Linked DNA regions of Arabidopsis thaliana. The protein of the gene in region 2 interacts with the protein of the main gene of each other region in a pairwise test. Each region holds a gene or a part of one and is shown on either strand. Other genes may lie near its edges.

Evidence for each region.
Region 1: the proteins of MYB117 (region 2) and WRKY47 interact in a two-hybrid assay, tested with the Arabidopsis thaliana proteins (one large-scale study listed by BioGRID).
Region 3: the proteins of MYB117 (region 2) and FBH4 interact in a two-hybrid assay, tested with the Arabidopsis thaliana proteins (one large-scale study listed by BioGRID).
Region 4: the proteins of MYB117 (region 2) and AT5G58620 interact in a two-hybrid assay, tested with the Arabidopsis thaliana proteins (one large-scale study listed by BioGRID).

The regions. Positions count from the first base shown.
Region 1 is NC_003075.7:742,916-749,105, forward strand, and holds WRKY47 (WRKY family transcription factor), read left to right. Parts: upstream 1-1,888; 5' UTR 1,889-2,033; coding exon 2,034-2,255; intron 2,256-2,337; coding exon 2,338-2,409; intron 2,410-2,800; coding exon 2,801-2,959; intron 2,960-3,769; coding exon 3,770-4,027; intron 4,028-4,122; coding exon 4,123-4,236; intron 4,237-4,659; coding exon 4,660-5,304; 3' UTR 5,305-5,639; downstream 5,640-6,190. UniProt on the Arabidopsis thaliana protein: Transcription factor. Interacts specifically with the W box (5'-(T)TGAC[CT]-3'), a frequently occurring elicitor-responsive cis-acting element.
Region 2 is NC_003070.9:9,269,210-9,273,226, forward strand, and holds MYB117 (myb domain protein 117), read left to right. Parts: upstream 1-1,742; 5' UTR 1,743-1,823; coding exon 1,824-2,220; intron 2,221-2,473; coding exon 2,474-2,908; coding exon of another isoform or gene 2,909-2,919; intron 2,920-3,006; coding exon 3,007-3,254; 3' UTR 3,255-3,504; downstream 3,505-4,017. UniProt on the Arabidopsis thaliana protein: Probable transcription factor that involved in boundary specification, meristem initiation and maintenance, and organ patterning.
Region 3 is NC_003071.7:17,610,963-17,615,174, reverse strand, and holds FBH4 (basic helix-loop-helix (bHLH) DNA-binding superfamily protein), read left to right. Parts: upstream 1-1,583; 5' UTR 1,584-2,011; coding exon 2,012-2,459; intron 2,460-2,723; coding exon 2,724-2,980; intron 2,981-3,086; coding exon 3,087-3,266; coding exon of another isoform or gene 3,267-3,284; exon of another isoform or gene 3,285-3,379; coding exon 3,380-3,445; intron 3,446-3,529; coding exon 3,530-3,661; downstream 3,662-4,212.
Region 4 is NC_003076.8:23,691,423-23,696,751, forward strand, and holds AT5G58620 (zinc finger (CCCH-type) family protein), read left to right. Parts: upstream 1-1,836; 5' UTR 1,837-2,110; intron 2,111-2,494; 5' UTR 2,495-2,536; coding exon 2,537-4,360; 3' UTR 4,361-4,718; downstream 4,719-5,329. Other genes in the region: TRM31 (uncharacterized protein), read right to left, coding at 4,719-5,029, 5,106-5,329.

The DNA.
Region 1 (6,190 bases), on a different chromosome or scaffold from region 2:
TTACCAAAAGTTATTGTATTTTTAGTGAGTCTTGTTGTATTAATGCTCTAAGAAAAAAGTTTTCTCCAGAATAAACAATCAAGGAGCAAATATTTCAGCGCCAATAAATATAGTAGCCTTTAGGATGGTCCAAATCTGGTAAAATATATCCTTAGCTAAAATGTTGATCTAACTAAAGAGATTTATATGTCAATTTCCAACCAAAAGATTTAGGCCCTGAATGGATGCTGATTTTCGATTCAGTTTTTGGATTTTGATTTTAGTTTCTAGATTTTAGATTTTAGTTTTAGATTTTTGTTAATATATTTTTGTTTTAAAAACTTCAAAAAATTAGTTTTTAGTTTTTGAGAAAAATAACGTTGATGGAGTAAAAACTAGATTCCCTAAATTTTAGAAAAACTAAAAAACTAAAATCATGAATGGAAAATTACAACAAAATAGTTTTTCAAATTGTAGGGAAACCAAAATTTTAAAATCTTGATTGTTATGAAAATAAGTTTTTGAAAAACAAAATCCAAAAACTCTTACAAAATCTACAAAACATTCAAGACCTTATTCTTCTCAGGTTTATATCTTAAACAAAACAAAATCCAAAATGCTATTTAACAAAACAAACAAACAAGTTCTCTTTTGAAATTAATTATTTATATGATATTAATTTCCAAATAAAACCTGAAAAGTTATCATAATCAGATATACATTTTTAATGTGGAAAAATCACGTAATAACATTATAAATATATATATGTAAACTAATATTGTGAAATCTAAGACTCTGTATATATAGTACTGACTACTGAACAAGTATATAAATTTTATGTTTATAATTATAAAACGAATCATTAAAGATATCAAATCTGAATCTCAAATAACTAACCCAAAATCATGATATCTATATAAATATATTCAAATGACCTTGCACGACGGTCTACACTGAGCTTGTTGACGATGACAGATTCAGAAATTCTGATTATTAGTTTAGAAAAAAAAAACTATAGTATTATTATTAACTATTTTAAATTTTTAAGAAAAAGGCAAAATAAATGACGAGTTTAAGACTTTGGTAGTTAGCTCCGGTTTCAATGAATGGTCCAAGTTGGAGAGATTAGGTTCTTTTTCTTCCCTATGTGGGTCCCATTCTTCCTTGTGTGGGTCCCACTCTCTTTAACGTTTCTTCACCGTCCTTTAGTGCCACCGTTATGCCGTGCCGTCAACTCCGTTGACTTCAGGACAACGCTGCTCGTCTTTTACTGAGTCTCACTCACGTCGTCTTTCTCCGTCAACTTTCTTACTAACGGCCACTTAACGGAAATCCGTCACTGTTAACAATTAAATTAATTCCGCTCGACATTTATCGCCGATTTACACGTCACTTTTTTCTATCTTACCCTGGTTATTTAACACGTGTACATTTATGACGCTATATATCGAGGAATTTATCCATCTCAAGGCATTTTCTCAATTATATTCTGGCTGCAAGTATCCAAATTTTATACCAGTTCTAAACAAAATTAGAAAGAAAACAAAATAACAATAAAGACATACTTATAATATTGAGATCAAATCTGACATTTAAGAACCACTCAAGATCTTCCTATTTTAAAAGGCAAAAGAAAGAGTCAGACTGATACTTATCATAAATAATTTTCAACATATATATCAAATGTTTGAGCACATAAAATATAAATATCAAATATAAATTTTAAATGCAACGCTGTAAATTTTCGTTTTATGTATGTCATAAGAATTGATTAGATAAAATTGGCATTTTCGCATAATTTACGTAATTAGTATAAACTAAATCATTATGCAATTTCGGAAATTACCAACCTTCTAATATAATATTCCCAACAGTTGCTTGGTCATTTATTTGTATGTGTAACATTTGACAAAAGAGTGATTTCTCGTTGAAAATGGAAACCTTTAGCTAAGACTTTACACAACTTATCCTCATAAATTTAGTCTTTATATAAAGGGACTCTCTTTTTTTTCTTTTTCTTCTCTCTATCTCTATCTATCTCTCTTTGTCTGCAAATGGAAGAACATATTCAAGATCGCCGTGAAATTGCGTTCTTACACTCAGGAGAATTTCTCCACGGAGATTCTGACTCAAAGGATCATCAACCGAACGAGTCTCCGGTGGAACGTCATCACGAGTCGTCTATCAAAGAAGTTGATTTCTTCGCTGCTAAAAGTCAGCCGTTTGATCTTGGTCATGTGAGAACAACGACGATCGTTGGATCATCTGGTTTTAATGTAAGTTTTTAAATTATAGATATGAATACAAATATATGTTTGGACGTTATAACTTAATTACATAAAATTCATGGCATAATAGGATGGATTAGGTTTGGTAAATTCATGTCATGGAACATCAAGCAATGATGGCGATGACAAAACCAAAACTCAAGTAAGTATTTCTAAATTGTTATTTTTTCTCTTTGATAGAATTTCAGAGTATCCTGTGGTAACATAATTTCAGTGTTTGTATTAAGAATAATTCACTTATATACAAACTATTTGTATTTGTTACTTAAAAAAAAAACTATTTGTATTTGTCAACAAAATAATCGGATGGTAATTTTTGTTGTGTGGACACACACACACACTTGATTACCCGATCATGTGAGTTTATCTAAATGCGCATATTCATTTATGTATATACACATATTTAATTCTTTTCTTTTTTGTAATCTTTAATTTAGTTCCGTATATAAAACTGTAGGTTGTTTTTAATGAAAAAAAAAATTGTTTGATTTATACTTTTATAGTTACGGTTATGATTATTAAACAATTTGCAGATTAGTAGACTGAAGTTGGAGCTAGAGAGGCTTCACGAGGAGAATCACAAACTGAAGCATTTATTAGATGAGGTCAGTGAGAGTTACAACGACCTCCAAAGAAGAGTTTTGTTAGCAAGACAAACACAAGTGGAAGGTCTTCATCATAAACAACATGAGGTACTTGATAAAATCATAAAAATGATAATAAAATATATATCAACATTTCGGTTTATTAAAAAATAAATTGTATATTTGTCTTTTTTATGTGGCACCGAGATTAGCTTAGGTTTTAGTGTTCGATTTATCTGGTTTTGAAAATTTAAAGTGATCTATTAGTTTTGTTTTTCTCGAAAGCAATTAAAATTTTAAAACTATGTGTAATATGCGTAAATAATGGATGTAGTTTAGTTATGTAATGAATTCATAATTTTCATCTTAAATGCCCAGATTGAAAGTCATAAGACGAATAAATACGTGCAGCTTTTATTTGATAAAATATGAAGAAGATGAAATAAATAGCTAGCCAATGACTTGGTCAAGAAAAAAATGTTTCATAACTTAATATTAAATGGAAAATCAAATTTCGGACTAAGATATTTCAAACTAGAAAAAACCTTTTGTTTTCAGAAGCTACAAACGATAAGTTATTTGTTTATAGTTAGGTATGTTCCTGTATATGCATCATATTTTGTTTGTCCACAATCTGTAGATGCATCATATATGAGTCTTTGCCTTAGAATTTTAATAGTTTAATACGTCCATATGTGAATGCATATGTGGTAGGTTATCAAATGTCTATTATTATGTGTGTGTTTATATTTATTATCTTGTCTTTGGGTCTATCGGTACTATATATATTATGAGGTTACTTGATCAAATTAATTACCGATACTACGGTATGATTTTGGGTAAATTTCAACGTCTTTTTCTTTCAATTTTCTTATAAAACTGACACATCTTTCTTGCAAATTTTTGTTTGGCAAAAAGGATGTACCTCAAGCTGGTTCCTCACAAGCTCTAGAGAACAGAAGACCAAAGGATATGAACCATGAAACTCCGGCCACCACCTTGAAACGACGGTCTCCAGACGACGTGGATGGTCGTGATATGCACCGAGGATCACCAAAAACTCCTCGAATAGACCAAAACAAGAGTACTAATCATGAAGAACAACAAAACCCTCATGATCAATTACCCTATAGAAAAGCTAGGGTTTCCGTTAGAGCTAGATCTGATGCCACTACGGTAACTTTCTATAAGTTACTAATTTTTTTGATTCGTTTAACCTTACATATATATATGAGTTATGAAAATTGAATCAATATTAATATATAATATAGGTAAATGACGGATGTCAATGGAGAAAATACGGTCAGAAAATGGCGAAAGGGAATCCATGTCCTCGCGCTTATTATCGTTGCACCATGGCCGTTGGATGTCCTGTCCGTAAACAGGTTAGTATAACTATATATATGAGAAAATGTTATCATAATTATAGAAAAAAAAATTTGGTATTAGAATTTTGTATTGATTAACGTATATAGTATTGGTTCTTTTCGTCAACATGTAGCTTTGAATATAAAAATTGACATAATAACAACACTAATATAACCGATTATATTACGTATCCTTTAGAAGTATTGATTTAGAGCAATACCATAAAACCTTATTAAAGTCCTTCATACAACAGATTTAGAAAGTTTTAAGAAGAGTATAGAAAATAATTCTAAATTTAGAAAGGCTTTACTAAATCCCTTTCTAACAAAATCTTTTACTTATGAAAAACCAAAACTAGAATGCGACATATTTATTCTTAAAGAAAACTTTATTGTTTTACGTAACAAAATGATTTAAAATGTTTATTTGAATGTAAATAGGTCCAACGATGCGCGGAGGATACAACTATCTTGACAACAACGTACGAAGGAAACCATAACCATCCTCTTCCCCCGTCAGCCACAGCCATGGCTGCAACCACCTCCGCCGCAGCAGCCATGCTCTTATCAGGCTCCTCCTCCAGCAACCTCCACCAAACACTCTCTAGCCCCTCCGCCACGTCATCATCATCCTTCTACCATAACTTCCCATACACCTCCACAATCGCAACACTCTCTGCCTCAGCTCCTTTCCCCACCATAACCTTAGACCTCACCAACCCACCTCGACCGCTACAACCGCCACCGCAGTTTCTAAGCCAGTATGGTCCCGCCGCGTTTTTACCAAACGCTAATCAAATTAGGTCTATGAATAATAATAACCAGCAGTTATTAATACCTAATTTGTTTGGCCCACAAGCCCCACCACGTGAAATGGTCGATTCAGTTAGGGCTGCGATTGCGATGGATCCGAACTTCACGGCGGCACTTGCGGCCGCGATCTCAAACATTATCGGAGGAGGTAATAACGACAACAATAATAATACTGATATTAATGATAACAAGGTTGATGCAAAAAGTGGAGGGAGTAGTAACGGAGATTCGCCACAGCTTCCTCAGTCTTGCACCACTTTCTCTACAAACTAATTTTACTACCATTATTATATGTTATCTTATTATATATTACACACACATATTATACATTATGCGTATCTTAAGTTTTTTTTTGGTGTACATTATATATGAATGATATGGAGATCACTGAGAGAGAGAGAGAGCTATTATAGGTTTTTTTTTTACAGGTTTACACGATTTTGGCTATCGTTTTTTTTTCTTCTATGTTAAGAACGAGGGGTGTAGGTTTTATTTTTCCTACTTCTTATGAATCATACTCTGTATATGTATACATCTTAAATATATATTATGTTAAAAAAGAACATGCATGCCTGTATGATATATTAATATATTACAATGTAACTATATAATATGACTATATGAGTAACATTTTTTGTTATATCTACTGAATAAGATATCATGAGAGGTATCAAATATAACAACGACAAGGATCAGTACTGTATTAGATTTATTGTTCGTTTCGCAGTTGTCAAAGACCATAACAATGATTGTTCGATTTTGTAGTTGTTAGCTCAATTATTATATATATATATATATATATATATATATATATATATATATATATATATATATATATATATATATGAAACAATTGTAGTAACTAAGCTGATTTCTTTTAGTATTTTAAATTTTAATTAGCGATGAATCAGTGAAATTTGTTATTGTCAACCACAACTAAATCGGTATGAGTATAACCTACCACAAGTTACTGTCAATGATTACTAAATATTTATAATTTAGTTGTTGATAGTTGTTGCCAATGATTACAAAGCGTACACGATATTGTGTATATGAACAAAATACAAAGAAACTAAAGAACAACAAGGTCGCTGATATATACCAAATCGTCGGTTTAACCGGCTCTGCCAGTGTATATTTTCCTAGTGACAATTGTCAC
Region 2 (4,017 bases):
TCTACTTACAAACAAACATAATTAATAGTGTGTTTCACCATATTTTATTTCATCATTTCATTTTAAACGGTAAAAAAAAACTGATTACAATTTTTATAAATGTTTGTTCTGCAAAATATAAAATTAAATAAAGCTGCATAACTTTCTGTTTCATAAAATTATATAGTTCATATATACTTCTTCACCCAACCTTTTATTTCATATTTCATATATAATATTAATGTGTATTTCAAAGTGATTGACCAATTAAAAAGAAAATATGACGAAGAGAAAGAGAGTTTGTAGTGCGTTCGGTTAAATCTCTGTGCAGAGGATCGTACAGTTCTGAGACCCCTTTTGTATCTGTATTTATCCCATATTTAATGGTTACGTCTGCCAATTGGGATTTCTGGTCAAATACGAAAAGGTCTTAAAAGTTATTTCTTTACATTTTTACTGTTCATTCTCATTACTTATACACACTTCCACACGGCCACATTCCTCATGTATGTGGGATATTTAGGGTTGAGAGTTTTTTTGAATTGGCATTGTAATATCTCGTTATTAAAAACCATGAGACTGCTACAAAGAATAAAACAGTCAAAATTTCAAGATTATTTGATACAACATGACAAGGAGAAAATGAGTATATTGAAGCGATGTTTAATTAAGAAAAAAATTGAATGAAGAAAAAAGATTGTGGTTAATTTTTTAAGATAAGAGAGGGTTTCACAGAAACAAAAATGGTAGTAAAAAGTAAAGGAATGAAAGACAAGTGGAGATTAAGAGAGAAAGAGGTAAATTTTAAGGAACCCAAAATGAAATGAAAGAAAAAGCTGTCTGAGAATTGGTTGTGCTAAGAAGAGACCCGACTCATTCCCCAATGGTAAACTCTCTTTTTGCCTTCATCCTTTTTTGGTAGTTAGTTCTGCTTCAGCTTTTTTTCTTTCATCTCATTAGCTTTTATTATTTTCACCTTGCACCTATAAAACATGCATTGATTAATAGAGGATAAATTTCACCTAATAACGGTAAGATTCATTTCGGACTCGTCCAAGATATTCTCTACATTCATTGTTTTTTAGGTCGACACTCCCAACATTAATTTATTTTGTCATAATCCATTGGTTTTCATTAAATAAAAGAGGAAATACTATCTTATACATCAAACTAAGATAAACATTAATTATTCATAAAAGTAGGAAATTTGTATAAGGAACCATAGAGAAGCAGCGTAATTAATGTTATCGTTTGATTATGAACCCTAATACGACTATAAAACTATTGCATACTTTTCAATTACTATCAATCTATGGACATGGAAAAAAACTTGGTCTTCAAATCTTAGTTACTTTTAAATTTAATAAATGATTTATCAGAAAAACTCTTTAACTTCTATGAAACTAGGTACACCTGAACAAATGTATAACAGTCCACAGCAAAATCGAATATCGATAATACACATTTGTACTTACTTATTACAGTAGTGTATATGTAATATATATAATAATGTATAAATGCAAAGAACTCTGTCGTTTGAATTAGTCCGTGACGACGGTCCATAACCCTTTTTAACAGTCGTCAGAAAACACGGTCGCGACATGTACATACACGCACATACCTAAAGCCATACGTAACAAACACACCATTATATACAAAAGATATTCTATTATTTTTAAAAAATAATATTTATGACACACATTTACGTACGTGTATATATAATATGCAAATGCACTCACATAAGTCTTTCTCCTCCGATGGTATATGTCTATAAGCTGACGTGACATCTCTCTTAATTCTCAATAACACTTCTCTTCTTCTTCCTTTCTCCCAACACTAACTCCATGTTTATAACGGAAAAACAAGTGTGGATGGATGAGATCGTCGCAAGAAGAGCTTCTTCTTCTTGGGACTTCCCTTTCAACGACATTAATATTCATCAGCATCATCATCGTCACTGCAACACAAGTCATGAGTTTGAAATCTTGAAGAGTCCTCTTGGAGATGTAGCGGTTCACGAAGAAGAGAGTAATAATAATAACCCTAATTTCAGTAACAGCGAGAGTGGTAAGAAGGAGACAACAGATAGTGGTCAGTCTTGGTCCTCGTCGTCTTCAAAACCATCGGTCTTGGGGAGAGGACATTGGAGACCAGCTGAAGATGTTAAACTCAAAGAGCTTGTCTCCATTTACGGCCCACAAAACTGGAACCTCATAGCTGAAAAGCTTCAAGGAAGATCTGGTAAGTTAAATCAAAACCTTATTTATTTTCTATTTCTTTTGACAGCAAGTTAAATCAAAACCTTATAGATCTTCAAAATTTCATCAAAACCAGTTTGTTTGATTCATCTGGATCTGTCAAGTTCTTAAGATCCGGTGATAAAATCAATTTTTGTTTTTATTAGTTTTCTTGGTCTTTAGCCTTCTATGTCCAATCTAAGTCCTAACGTAATTTTTTTTGAGTTTTATTAACTTAATCTTGATTGTTTTTAAAGGGAAGAGCTGTAGACTACGATGGTTTAACCAATTGGACCCGAGGATAAACCGAAGAGCTTTCACAGAAGAAGAAGAGGAGAGGCTGATGCAAGCACATAGGCTTTATGGTAACAAATGGGCAATGATTGCGAGGCTTTTCCCTGGTAGAACTGATAATTCAGTGAAGAACCATTGGCATGTTGTCATGGCTCGTAAGTATAGAGAACACTCTTCTGCTTACCGTAGGAGAAAGCTTATGAGTAATAATCCACTTAAACCTCACCTCACCAATAATCATCATCCTAACCCTAACCCTAATTACCACTCTTTTATCTCCACTAATCATTACTTCGCTCAGCCTTTCCCCGAGTTTAATTTGACTCATCACCTGGTTAATAATGCCCCTATCACGAGTGACCATAACCAGCTTGTGTTGCCTTTCCATTGCTTTCAAGGTAGCCTATAGCTCTTCCTCCTCTTTCAATAGTTTTTTCAATTGTCTTTTGCATATTTTGAACTCTTTTTTGGTTTTTGTTATATCTACAACGTTCAGGTTATGAGAACAATGAACCTCCGATGGTTGTGAGTATGTTTGGCAACCAAATGATGGTCGGCGATAACGTTGGTGCCACGTCAGACGCGTTATGCAATATTCCGCACATTGACCCTAGTAACCAAGAGAAACCGGAGCCAAATGATGCAATGCATTGGATCGGAATGGACGCGGTAGATGAGGAGGTGTTCGAAAAGGCTAAGCAGCAACCACATTTTTTCGATTTTCTTGGCTTGGGGACGGCGTGAATGTTGAACAAATTGGTGTTAATCAGATAACGACAGTGGTTAAATTTGGTTACAAAAAAAATAGCATTTAGCTTTAGTAGCTAGAAAACAAACAAACCAGATCCTAGCCTTTGTCCTTGCGTTTACGTTAATTACTAAACTGTAGATTGTTGTTGTTGGCACTTGGTTGTCTAGTGTAACATTTGATAAGTCATTGTTTTTAGTAGTACTCGTTCAGAAATATTTAACAAAGAGAGATTGGTTTTAAAAAGTTGATTCTTTTATGATGAAGTGACGTGAAATATTGCTAAAGACGTGTTGAGAATAACAACGAGAGAGAGAGAGAGAGAAGGGAAATTAAAAAGAGTGGAGTTTCTAGGAGTTGGAGAAAGAGACGAAGATGCGTAATTAAGAGAAGAGGAACTGCCAAAATTGAGGCAGAGATTGTGCAACAGAAAGGCCAAACATGAAACATGCTCACCAAATCTCACACACACATTGCATTTGTTTCTTCTCTTCAAACCGTTTTTCCAACTCTTCAAGCTTCTTACCTATGTATCTCTCTCATGTCACGCGGACCCACACATGCCCTTCTTTCTTGTAATTCTTTCCATGTTGTAGATATAAAAGAAAAATTTAAATTGAATTGTTCTTTTGTATAGTTTTGGTTGGGTTAAAAAAAAAGGAAAAAAATTAGTTTTGGTTTTGAATATGAGTTTTTAAAATAATATATAACGTGGATAAATGTATGGGTTTTTCGGATTTTGAAAGGTTGTTGTAGAGA
Region 3 (4,212 bases), on a different chromosome or scaffold from region 2:
ACAGCTCGAAGTTTTAAGACTATGTAGCTTAGCCTATGTCAATGTCATCAATCTATATGCAATATATATAGAGCCTCAGGCACATAAACCGTAGTCCCCATATAAAAAAGGGAATGAAACAGCTAATAACTCCATAGAGAATAAATTCACATTCAAAGCAAATTCACCACCCCAATCTTCTCAATGGTTCGGTTTCTTTTTTCAATTCTTACATTGTACTAAAAGCTAAAAATTCAGACTGATACGATACGAATAGGTTTTTGAAAATATAAAAATTAATCAATTTCCATTAAAGGGCTGAATAGCTAAAAACTCCATAGAGAACAAGTCGCTTTATTGGATTTAGATTTTAAAAAGACGGCGCTCGTGAATTATTAAAGTTTAAACTAAGATAAGATTTAAAGAGATTTAGAGGAGACGTAATCTGGTGTATATCGTTCACATAGAGTCACGTCACTGTATAATCCATCGACCACTAAGGTTTTAGAGTTTAGTTTCAAATCTTACTTTTTCATGCAGGTGTACCGTATGTCACACAGATTATAGTAGTCGCCAACTTACGTTCCCAATGGGTGATAACGGCGTCAACGTCCTCCGTCACGATCGTGTCGTAAGCTGTACACTGTATAGGTTCCGTGAACCTTAAAATCGGATTTGGAAAGCTACGTACGTACGTAAATATTGGTTAAAAAGTTCAAACAGTTTTGATCTCTCTTTTATTACAAACAAACTGTACTTCCGACAATTTTCTTTCTTTCTATTTCAAGTACGTTTTCGTGTCTAACTATATTAACATCTAACTTCTGACTTTTATACTCTGATGGGACAATCTTTAATTCTTAAATTCTAAGTTGTACCATGCGAATGGATATTAGATTTTGTCAGTACAATTGCTGACTATGAATGAAGTACTCTAACATCATTATTGGTTCCTGAATAATGAGTACTTAAACAAAACAAATTTGAAGTAACGTAACCATGACATATTAGATCCATGTCCCCTAAAACGTATTAAAATTATTTCCTTACGTCGTTAAATTTCGAATCTAGTGTTAAATTGTTACATTGGTTGTTAAACTACCGACCCAATAAAAAAAAAGAAACTAATATTTATGATTGGTGCATCTTGTTGTAAATTGTAATCGTATGGCCTACCAGCGATTTCATTGTCCCCAACATACAGATATTTTTGTTCGTGTGTTATAAATTAGGGTAGAAACATCACATATTTTACAGAGACAAAGAAAAAAACAAGAATCGTAATAAAATGATATTATGGATACATGTAGATTATAAGATGAGAAATAATAATTTGTCACGGGTCCATCAGTATACTCGTCAAAATTGATTAGGTAGGTAATTTACTTCACATGCTCTTCCTGTATACAAGTATAAAGTATGTATTTTCATCTAAAATCTACTCTTTTCTCAATTACATTTTATATAGAAAAATTCATATTCTTAAGAAATAGTAGTAAAATTGTTCTTGAAAAAAAATATGAAAAGGCATTTTCCGTGACTCAGCCTCACAGGCGGCTTAAAACGACGTCTTTTTCAATTTTAATAAATTTTTGGTAAAAAAGCTTTTGGATCCGCCGCTATCTTCAGCAATTAAAGTTGGACGCAGAAACTCAGAAGCAAAAAGACGATAAATATTCATCATCACCTTCATCTCTCTCTTCCTCTCATCAGACTTCACCGTTCTTCTTTCTCTCTTCTTCATCTTCAGACGAAACCTCCTTTACTTCCCCTTCAAGGTTTTATATTTCCCAAATCCTACACCTGCTCACATCTCAAGCTCAAGTTTTGTTTTCCCGGGAAAAGTGACACAAACAAGAACTTAACAAGGGAGAAGAAAAAGCTTATATTCATATCAACGGTTGACGTTGGAAAGCTATTAAGATTTGGTTTTCTACAAATTTGTTCTTCCTGAAACGTCACGAGACAGAGCTTACAAGAAGAGAAAACAGAGGAAATTTCGTTGCATTTTTTTTACATATTGATTCGATTAATGGATTCAAATAATCATCTCTACGACCCGAATCCCACCGGGTCGGGTCTTCTTCGTTTTAGATCAGCTCCGAGCTCTGTTCTCGCCGCTTTTGTTGACGACGACAAGATTGGTTTCGACTCCGATAGGTTGCTTTCAAGATTCGTGACCTCTAATGGCGTTAACGGAGATCTGGGTTCACCTAAATTCGAGGATAAGTCTCCGGTTTCGTTAACGAACACCTCTGTTTCATACGCCGCCACTCTGCCGCCACCGCCGCAGCTTGAGCCGTCGAGTTTTCTGGGTTTGCCGCCGCATTACCCGAGGCAGAGTAAAGGGATAATGAACTCGGTTGGTTTGGATCAGTTTCTCGGTATCAATAATCATCACACCAAACCAGTTGAATCTAATCTTCTCCGTCAAAGCAGCTCTCCAGCCGGAATGTTTACTAATCTCTCTGACCAAAACGGTACCGTTTTGCTCTCTGCTACAAAGTTTTTCCCCCTTTTTTTAGTCTGAAATATTTTTTTCATTTATAACAGAAGTGTTTTTGGTACTTCTTGATTCAACTTTTTTGAATGTTTTAACACTTGCTTCAAGATTTTTGAATGTTTTACGTTCCTTGAGAATAATTTTAAGACAAGATCTGATTTGATTTTGTCAACCATAGAGTTAAAGCACTTTGGACTCAACAAATCTAATAAGTGTTTACTATATACTTACAAATTTGCAGGTTATGGTTCAATGAGGAATTTGATGAATTACGAAGAAGATGAAGAGAGTCCATCTAATTCCAATGGATTAAGACGCCATTGCAGTCTCTCTTCAAGGCCACCTTCTTCACTTGGAATGCTTTCTCAAATACCTGAAATCGCACCCGAAACTAATTTTCCATATAGCCATTGGAATGATCCATCCAGCTTTATTGATAACTTATCCTCACTTAAAAGAGAAGCCGAGGACGATGGAAAATTGTTTCTCGGAGCTCAGGTAACTCGGTTATCTAACCGGTTTGTTTTGGTTATTGATCAGTAGCTGAAAGTGGAGTTGATTTCTTGGAGTGGTTTCTAATGATGTTTTTGATGGGTTTCTACAGAACGGAGAGTCCGGGAATCGTATGCAGTTACTGTCGCATCATTTGAGCCTACCAAAGTCATCATCGACAGCCTCGGACATGGTTTCAGTGGATAAGTATCTTCAGCTACAAGATTCTGTTCCTTGTAAAATCAGAGCCAAACGTGGTTGCGCTACACATCCTCGAAGCATCGCTGAACGGGTAACTTCACCTAGTTAAGGCCATCTTTACATATATCAATGGAAGTCCATTTGAAGCAGAATCTAGTTTGTTTTCAGAAAGCCTTTCCTAAGAAATCTTGTCAATTGTGTCAGGTAAGAAGAACGCGGATAAGCGAGCGAATGAGGAAGTTACAAGAGCTTGTTCCTAACATGGACAAGGTACAGTTTTCAGGAACTTCCTTGTAATGACTTTTGATCATAAACAAATTGTTAAATGATGTTGTTTTCTTTATGTTTTAACAGCAAACCAACACTTCGGATATGTTGGATTTAGCTGTGGATTACATCAAAGATTTACAAAGACAGTATAAGGTAAAGTTCCTGATCATTGTGGAAAAAAAACAAAGGGGCCTGTTTAGTCTTCTGTTGAATTGATTTAGTCTTCTGTTGGTTTTACACAGATTTTAAACGACAACAGAGCTAACTGTAAGTGTATGAACAAGGAGAAGAAGTCAATATAGGGCGCAACAAAGTGTGTAGTAGATAGGACTAAAAAGCAGGGAGAAGGACAAGAAAGAAACAATGTCATGTCTGAATATTTTTTAGCCGAAACAGACCAAATTGTCTATGTAAGCTCTCGAGAAAAGCATCTGCTTCCAACAAAATTCTAAGTAATAAAATAGTACTCGATTTGTTCTTATTTCATTATTACAATGCAGAATCTACTAATCAAATGTTGTACTACAAAAGGTAAGATCAACTACGGTAGCTAAATGCGAAAATTATGACCAGAAGAACAAAGAAAGACTCGAAAACTAAGCAGAAAACATAAATTATTCTTCCATGTGATCTGCAGCGTCAGAATCTTTGATATCACCAGTAAGACTACTCCTGGTCACAACCAAAGTAAGAATCACACATGAAGTAGAGTGTATACGACTTCTCTCCTGGTTCAGTTGGTACTGCAAACTCCAGCTACGATGCAG
Region 4 (5,329 bases), on a different chromosome or scaffold from region 2:
GTTGTTTTTTGGTTGATACACGCGAAAAGAGTGGAGATTTTTAATTTTGGTCAATTTGCACTATTTCCTAATTAAAAATCCAAAATTTACCCATTTCACCCTCTTATTTCTTTATTTCTTCTACTTTCGTACTATTAAAGCTTGCTCATCACTCTTTGACTTTGACTCTGTTTTTCACTCTTCTCAGATATAGCTCATGAATACGACATTCTTTCTTCGGATTCACCATATGACTTTTACTTGTGAAGATAGTAAGATACTATCTCATTAGTTACCAGTTCTTTTTATTTACGTCCATGAAGAAGAAATTGGCTTCCTTCTTTTAAATCAAGAAGATAGACTAATGGGCCAAACCTAGGTCTTTAATTATGGGCTTTGAAACAGATCATTATCCTCGTATAGCCCCGCATCGGTATTTCTGGCCCAGAAGTGCTTGGCGCCAAGTCGAAGAGAGATAATTCACTGCATTTAGGACCATAAAAGTCAATATGGTCTGTCCAATAAGGCTCTGCCATTTGGGGTTTTGTCGCAGCGACGTCGGCTGATAAAATAGCAAATAGCAATGCTTAGTCGCTTTCAGTTGGTCCCACATGCTTCTTATTCCATTCATTCTAGTCAGATTATGGATTCTTGTGGGTCCTTTTCCTAATTGTACACTTAGACTTTTCTACCTTTTTTCCCTTTTTATTTCGCTTTATATCAAAATTAACCTAACAATATATCTCATCGTGAATACAAGATCTTGACCGTCTGTTTTCAGCATTTTTCATACCATTGTCTTTTGAGTGACTGACTTATAACAAATTTTTAAATATTGATTTGACATTGGGAATCAACAGTGTTTATGTTAAGAAACAGGATATAATTATCTAAAAATTAATAATTTGTCGTGTATATATACAGTATTTGCACTATCATATTAATATTATGACTTTACTTATTTATTAGAACTGTAAATTAGAAGAAGAGAAAATAAATGGCTTTGTGTTATGATGTGAGAGAGAGCCAGTGGAGCAGCTTCGTTAATGCCGCTGCAAAAAGCATTGATGGGTTCGGTTGCATGCATTTGGATTTGGTCTGGTTGCAATACAAAACAGTAGTCGTTTTCAAAAAAATATTATTATACATTTGCAATTTATGACTACTTTTATATAGTAGTACAACATTGTCATGGATCACGAATCACTATCTTTTAATATAATAATACAAGCATAGCGACAGAAAATACAAAGTTTGGTAAGGTTTGTTCGAATTCTTTCCATTACCGAATTTAAATACACATTATTTTAGTCTCTTAGGATATTTGTATTACCTAATCGTCTTTTTGTTGGAATTGTCGACCGAAAAAAACTGAACATAAACGTCAATTTCTCGACTTTATAATAATTATCTCAATTATCTTTAAACTTTATGATAATTAATTTTGATGAATATAACTCAAATCAAAGCTATGACAAAAGAGAGTTGCTATCAAGCGAAACCCACTCGAGACGGTTCCGATTCTGTGTTTTGGTGCATGTTGAGATTATTCTGGGGCGGTGACAAACCAATTAAAAAGCTATGGTTAATTGGTTATATAACTCTAGGTAACAGGCAGTGGTTTTATCTTTAGCTCGTGAATGGAGAAGAAAAGTAAGTAGCTCATTTTAAAAACATGCTGACGATGCATGGTTTCCACGTCATCCCACCAAAAACCGGAAAAACGCGTGAAGCGTGACAAAACCGATGAGCGAAGATCCTCTGTGTGAAGTCTAACGTACACCTTCATTTCCTTCAGACTTTACAAATTAAAATTGAAAGTAAAATAAATAAATAGAAATAAAAAAGACGAGAGAGAAGTAGAAGAAGAATGATGGAGATGGTGGTTTTGTTTTATTATTTAGAGTAAGCTTCTTCATTTTTTTAAAAACTTCTATTATTTTGACCTTAAGAAGAAAGTGACAAGGAGAGGAAGAAGAAGAAAAAAAACATAATTTGAGGAAGAAGAAAAAAAATTCGGATTTGTTTTTTCAATAAATTGACTAATTGAGTACTCGTTTAAAGGAAGTGAAGAGCGGTTTTTTGGTAGTGGTGGTCGAGAAAAGAGAGAGTTTGTCTCTGTGACTCAGAGGTAGAAAATCTTTACTCTTTGTTTCTTTGATTTGATTAGTCACTAATTTAGTTTCAGTTGAATCCATATATGTCGATTTGTTTTAGAGTTTGCAGTTTGTTTTTAATTGTTTTGCTGATTGGAAAATGAGTTAACAATATGATTAGTTTTCGATGTTGCAAAAGTGGTTAATTATGGATCTGTTGGTGTTTATTTTTGGTTTGGTTTGTTTTAAAGTTGGAAACTTTGTATCCCAAACTAACAAACTCTTCCTTCTCTCCTTAGCTTAATCGTTTCTGCAGTTTTTATTTCTGTTTTGTATGATTTTGTTCTATGTATATTACCATTTTAATCAGAAGAAAAAAGATTCATCCTTTTCAATTTGTTCTGCAATTTTTTTTGCAGTGAAATCAATAGAGCGGGAAAAGATTGTTGCTTTTTTTTGCCATGGGAGTTGATGAGCTGTCTCACCTCAAATTCTCTCTTCTGCTAGAATCATCAGCCTGCAATGATTTGTCCGGTTTTAAGTCTCTAGTTGAAGAAGAAGGTCTTGAGAGCATTGATGGCTCTGGTTTGTGGTATGGGAGGAGATTAGGATCAAAGAAGATGGGTTTTGAGGAGAGGACGCCTCTTATGATTGCTGCCTTGTTTGGAAGCAAAGAGGTTGTTGATTACATCATTAGTACTGGTCTTGTTGACGTGAACCGCTCTTGTGGCTCTGATGGTGCCACGGCTCTTCACTGTGCGGTCTCTGGCTTGTCTGCCAATAGCCTTGAGATTGTTACTCTTCTGCTGAAGGGCTCTGCGAATCCGGATTCTTGTGATGCTTATGGTAACAAGCCTGGAGATGTGATTTTCCCTTGTTTGAGTCCGGTTTTTAGCGCGAGGATGAAGGTTTTGGAGCGTTTGTTGAAAGGAAATGATGATTTGAATGAAGTTAATGGGCAAGAAGAAAGCGAGCCAGAGGTTGAGGTTGAGGTTGAGGTTTCGCCTCCTCGGGGGTCTGAGAGGAAGGAGTATCCGGTTGATCCAACGCTTCCTGATATCAAGAACGGTGTATATGGGACGGATGAGTTCCGGATGTATGCTTTCAAGATCAAGCCGTGCTCTAGAGCATACTCTCACGACTGGACGGAATGTCCCTTTGTTCATCCGGGTGAGAACGCAAGGAGGCGTGATCCGAGGAAGTACCATTATAGTTGTGTCCCTTGTCCTGAATTCCGGAAGGGGTCTTGTTCCAGAGGTGATACTTGCGAGTATGCTCATGGTATCTTTGAGTGCTGGCTTCACCCGGCTCAGTACCGGACTCGTCTCTGCAAGGACGAGACGAATTGCTCGAGAAGAGTTTGTTTCTTTGCCCACAAACCCGAGGAGCTGCGTCCTTTGTACCCTTCAACTGGATCAGGTGTTCCGTCCCCGCGGTCTTCCTTCTCATCTTGCAATTCCTCGACCGCTTTCGACATGGGACCGATTAGTCCGCTTCCTATCGGAGCAACAACCACACCTCCTTTGAGTCCTAACGGTGTATCCTCTCCAATAGGTGGAGGAAAAACGTGGATGAACTGGCCTAACATAACCCCTCCTGCATTGCAGCTTCCAGGGAGCAGATTGAAATCTGCATTGAATGCAAGAGAAATCGATTTCTCTGAAGAGATGCAAAGTCTTACTTCTCCAACTACATGGAACAACACGCCAATGTCATCTCCATTCTCCGGAAAGGGCATGAACAGGCTTGCAGGAGGAGCAATGAGCCCGGTGAATAGTCTCAGTGATATGTTTGGGACAGAGGATAATACATCGGGTTTGCAGATCCGACGCAGCGTCATTAACCCGCAGCTGCATTCCAACAGTCTTTCTTCATCACCTGTGGGAGCCAATTCTCTGTTTTCGATGGATTCCTCCGCAGTCTTGGCTTCAAGAGCGGCTGAATTTGCTAAACAGCGAAGCCAAAGCTTCATAGAACGCAACAACGGACTGAATCACCATCCCGCAATCTCTTCCATGACTACAACTTGTTTAAACGATTGGGGCTCATTGGATGGGAAGCTTGACTGGAGCGTCCAAGGAGACGAGCTACAGAAGCTCAGAAAATCCACTTCTTTCCGTCTCAGAGCCGGTGGCATGGAATCAAGACTGCCTAACGAAGGGACTGGGCTCGAAGAGCCAGATGTCTCATGGGTGGAGCCGCTGGTGAAAGAGCCACAGGAGACAAGACTAGCTCCGGTTTGGATGGAGCAATCATACATGGAGACAGAACAGACCGTGGCTTGAATCAAAAGTTTTGAACTTTCATTAACCGTTCCACAAGAAGCAAAGTCAGAAAGATTCCGAGAGGTCGATGCTAATCTATTTCATTTTATTTGTTTAATGCTTTGTTATTTTTCTTTAGAATAAAAAGAAAAAATTCTTAGGGGACAAAAGAGAGTTCGTTTGTCTCTCTCTCTGTCTCCAAAGAAAAACAGAGGTGAAAAAAGGTTTCAAAACCTAAGAAACCTTGAATTACCTCACCTCACTTCCTTGATTCTTTACTATTCACAATGAGTAATCGATTTTTTTTTTTCTTGGTAACACTCTCACGCTGAATATATATGTTTTTTAGTAATAATATAATTGGAATACAGAAATGTATTTACACTTGTGAAGTTAGGGAAAGTGTTGTAATTGTTTCTTCTAAGAGTTGATCTAAGATGTTTGAGACTATATCTTCGCTTATGATTCCTTCTATATCTTCGAGCTTTAAAGCTTTTCCGTTAAACCAATCTGAACCTTCAAGGTCAGATACAGTGAGTTTGCAGATCATGAGCCACATCTCTTGGTAGCCATGAAGTCGGATTTCTTGGTCTTTTGATCTACTTGTCAATGTGATGTGATCTTGTTCAATCGTTTCATTGAGCTTACTAGATTCAAGTTCTGAAGACAACCGTCTTCTTGAAATGTTTCCTGTTACAAGGAAACAAGTATGCTTTAATAACACAAGAAAGGACATTTCAATTTTCAATACTGAAGAATTACCAACCTGGTGATGGAGTTACTCGAACACCAGCATACCGGTCATAATCAAGAACCGAGACAGGGCTCGAATCATCGCAGCTTCCACACTCTTCTTCTTCTTTTGTTGATCTCACTTCACAATTTACTAAATCTTCTTCTTTGGACCAACAACCATTACTTTGGACCCAATTCTCCTTCTCGATGTTCTGTCTCAACTTAGTTTCTTTTCGTTTTCTTCTGCTCTTACGT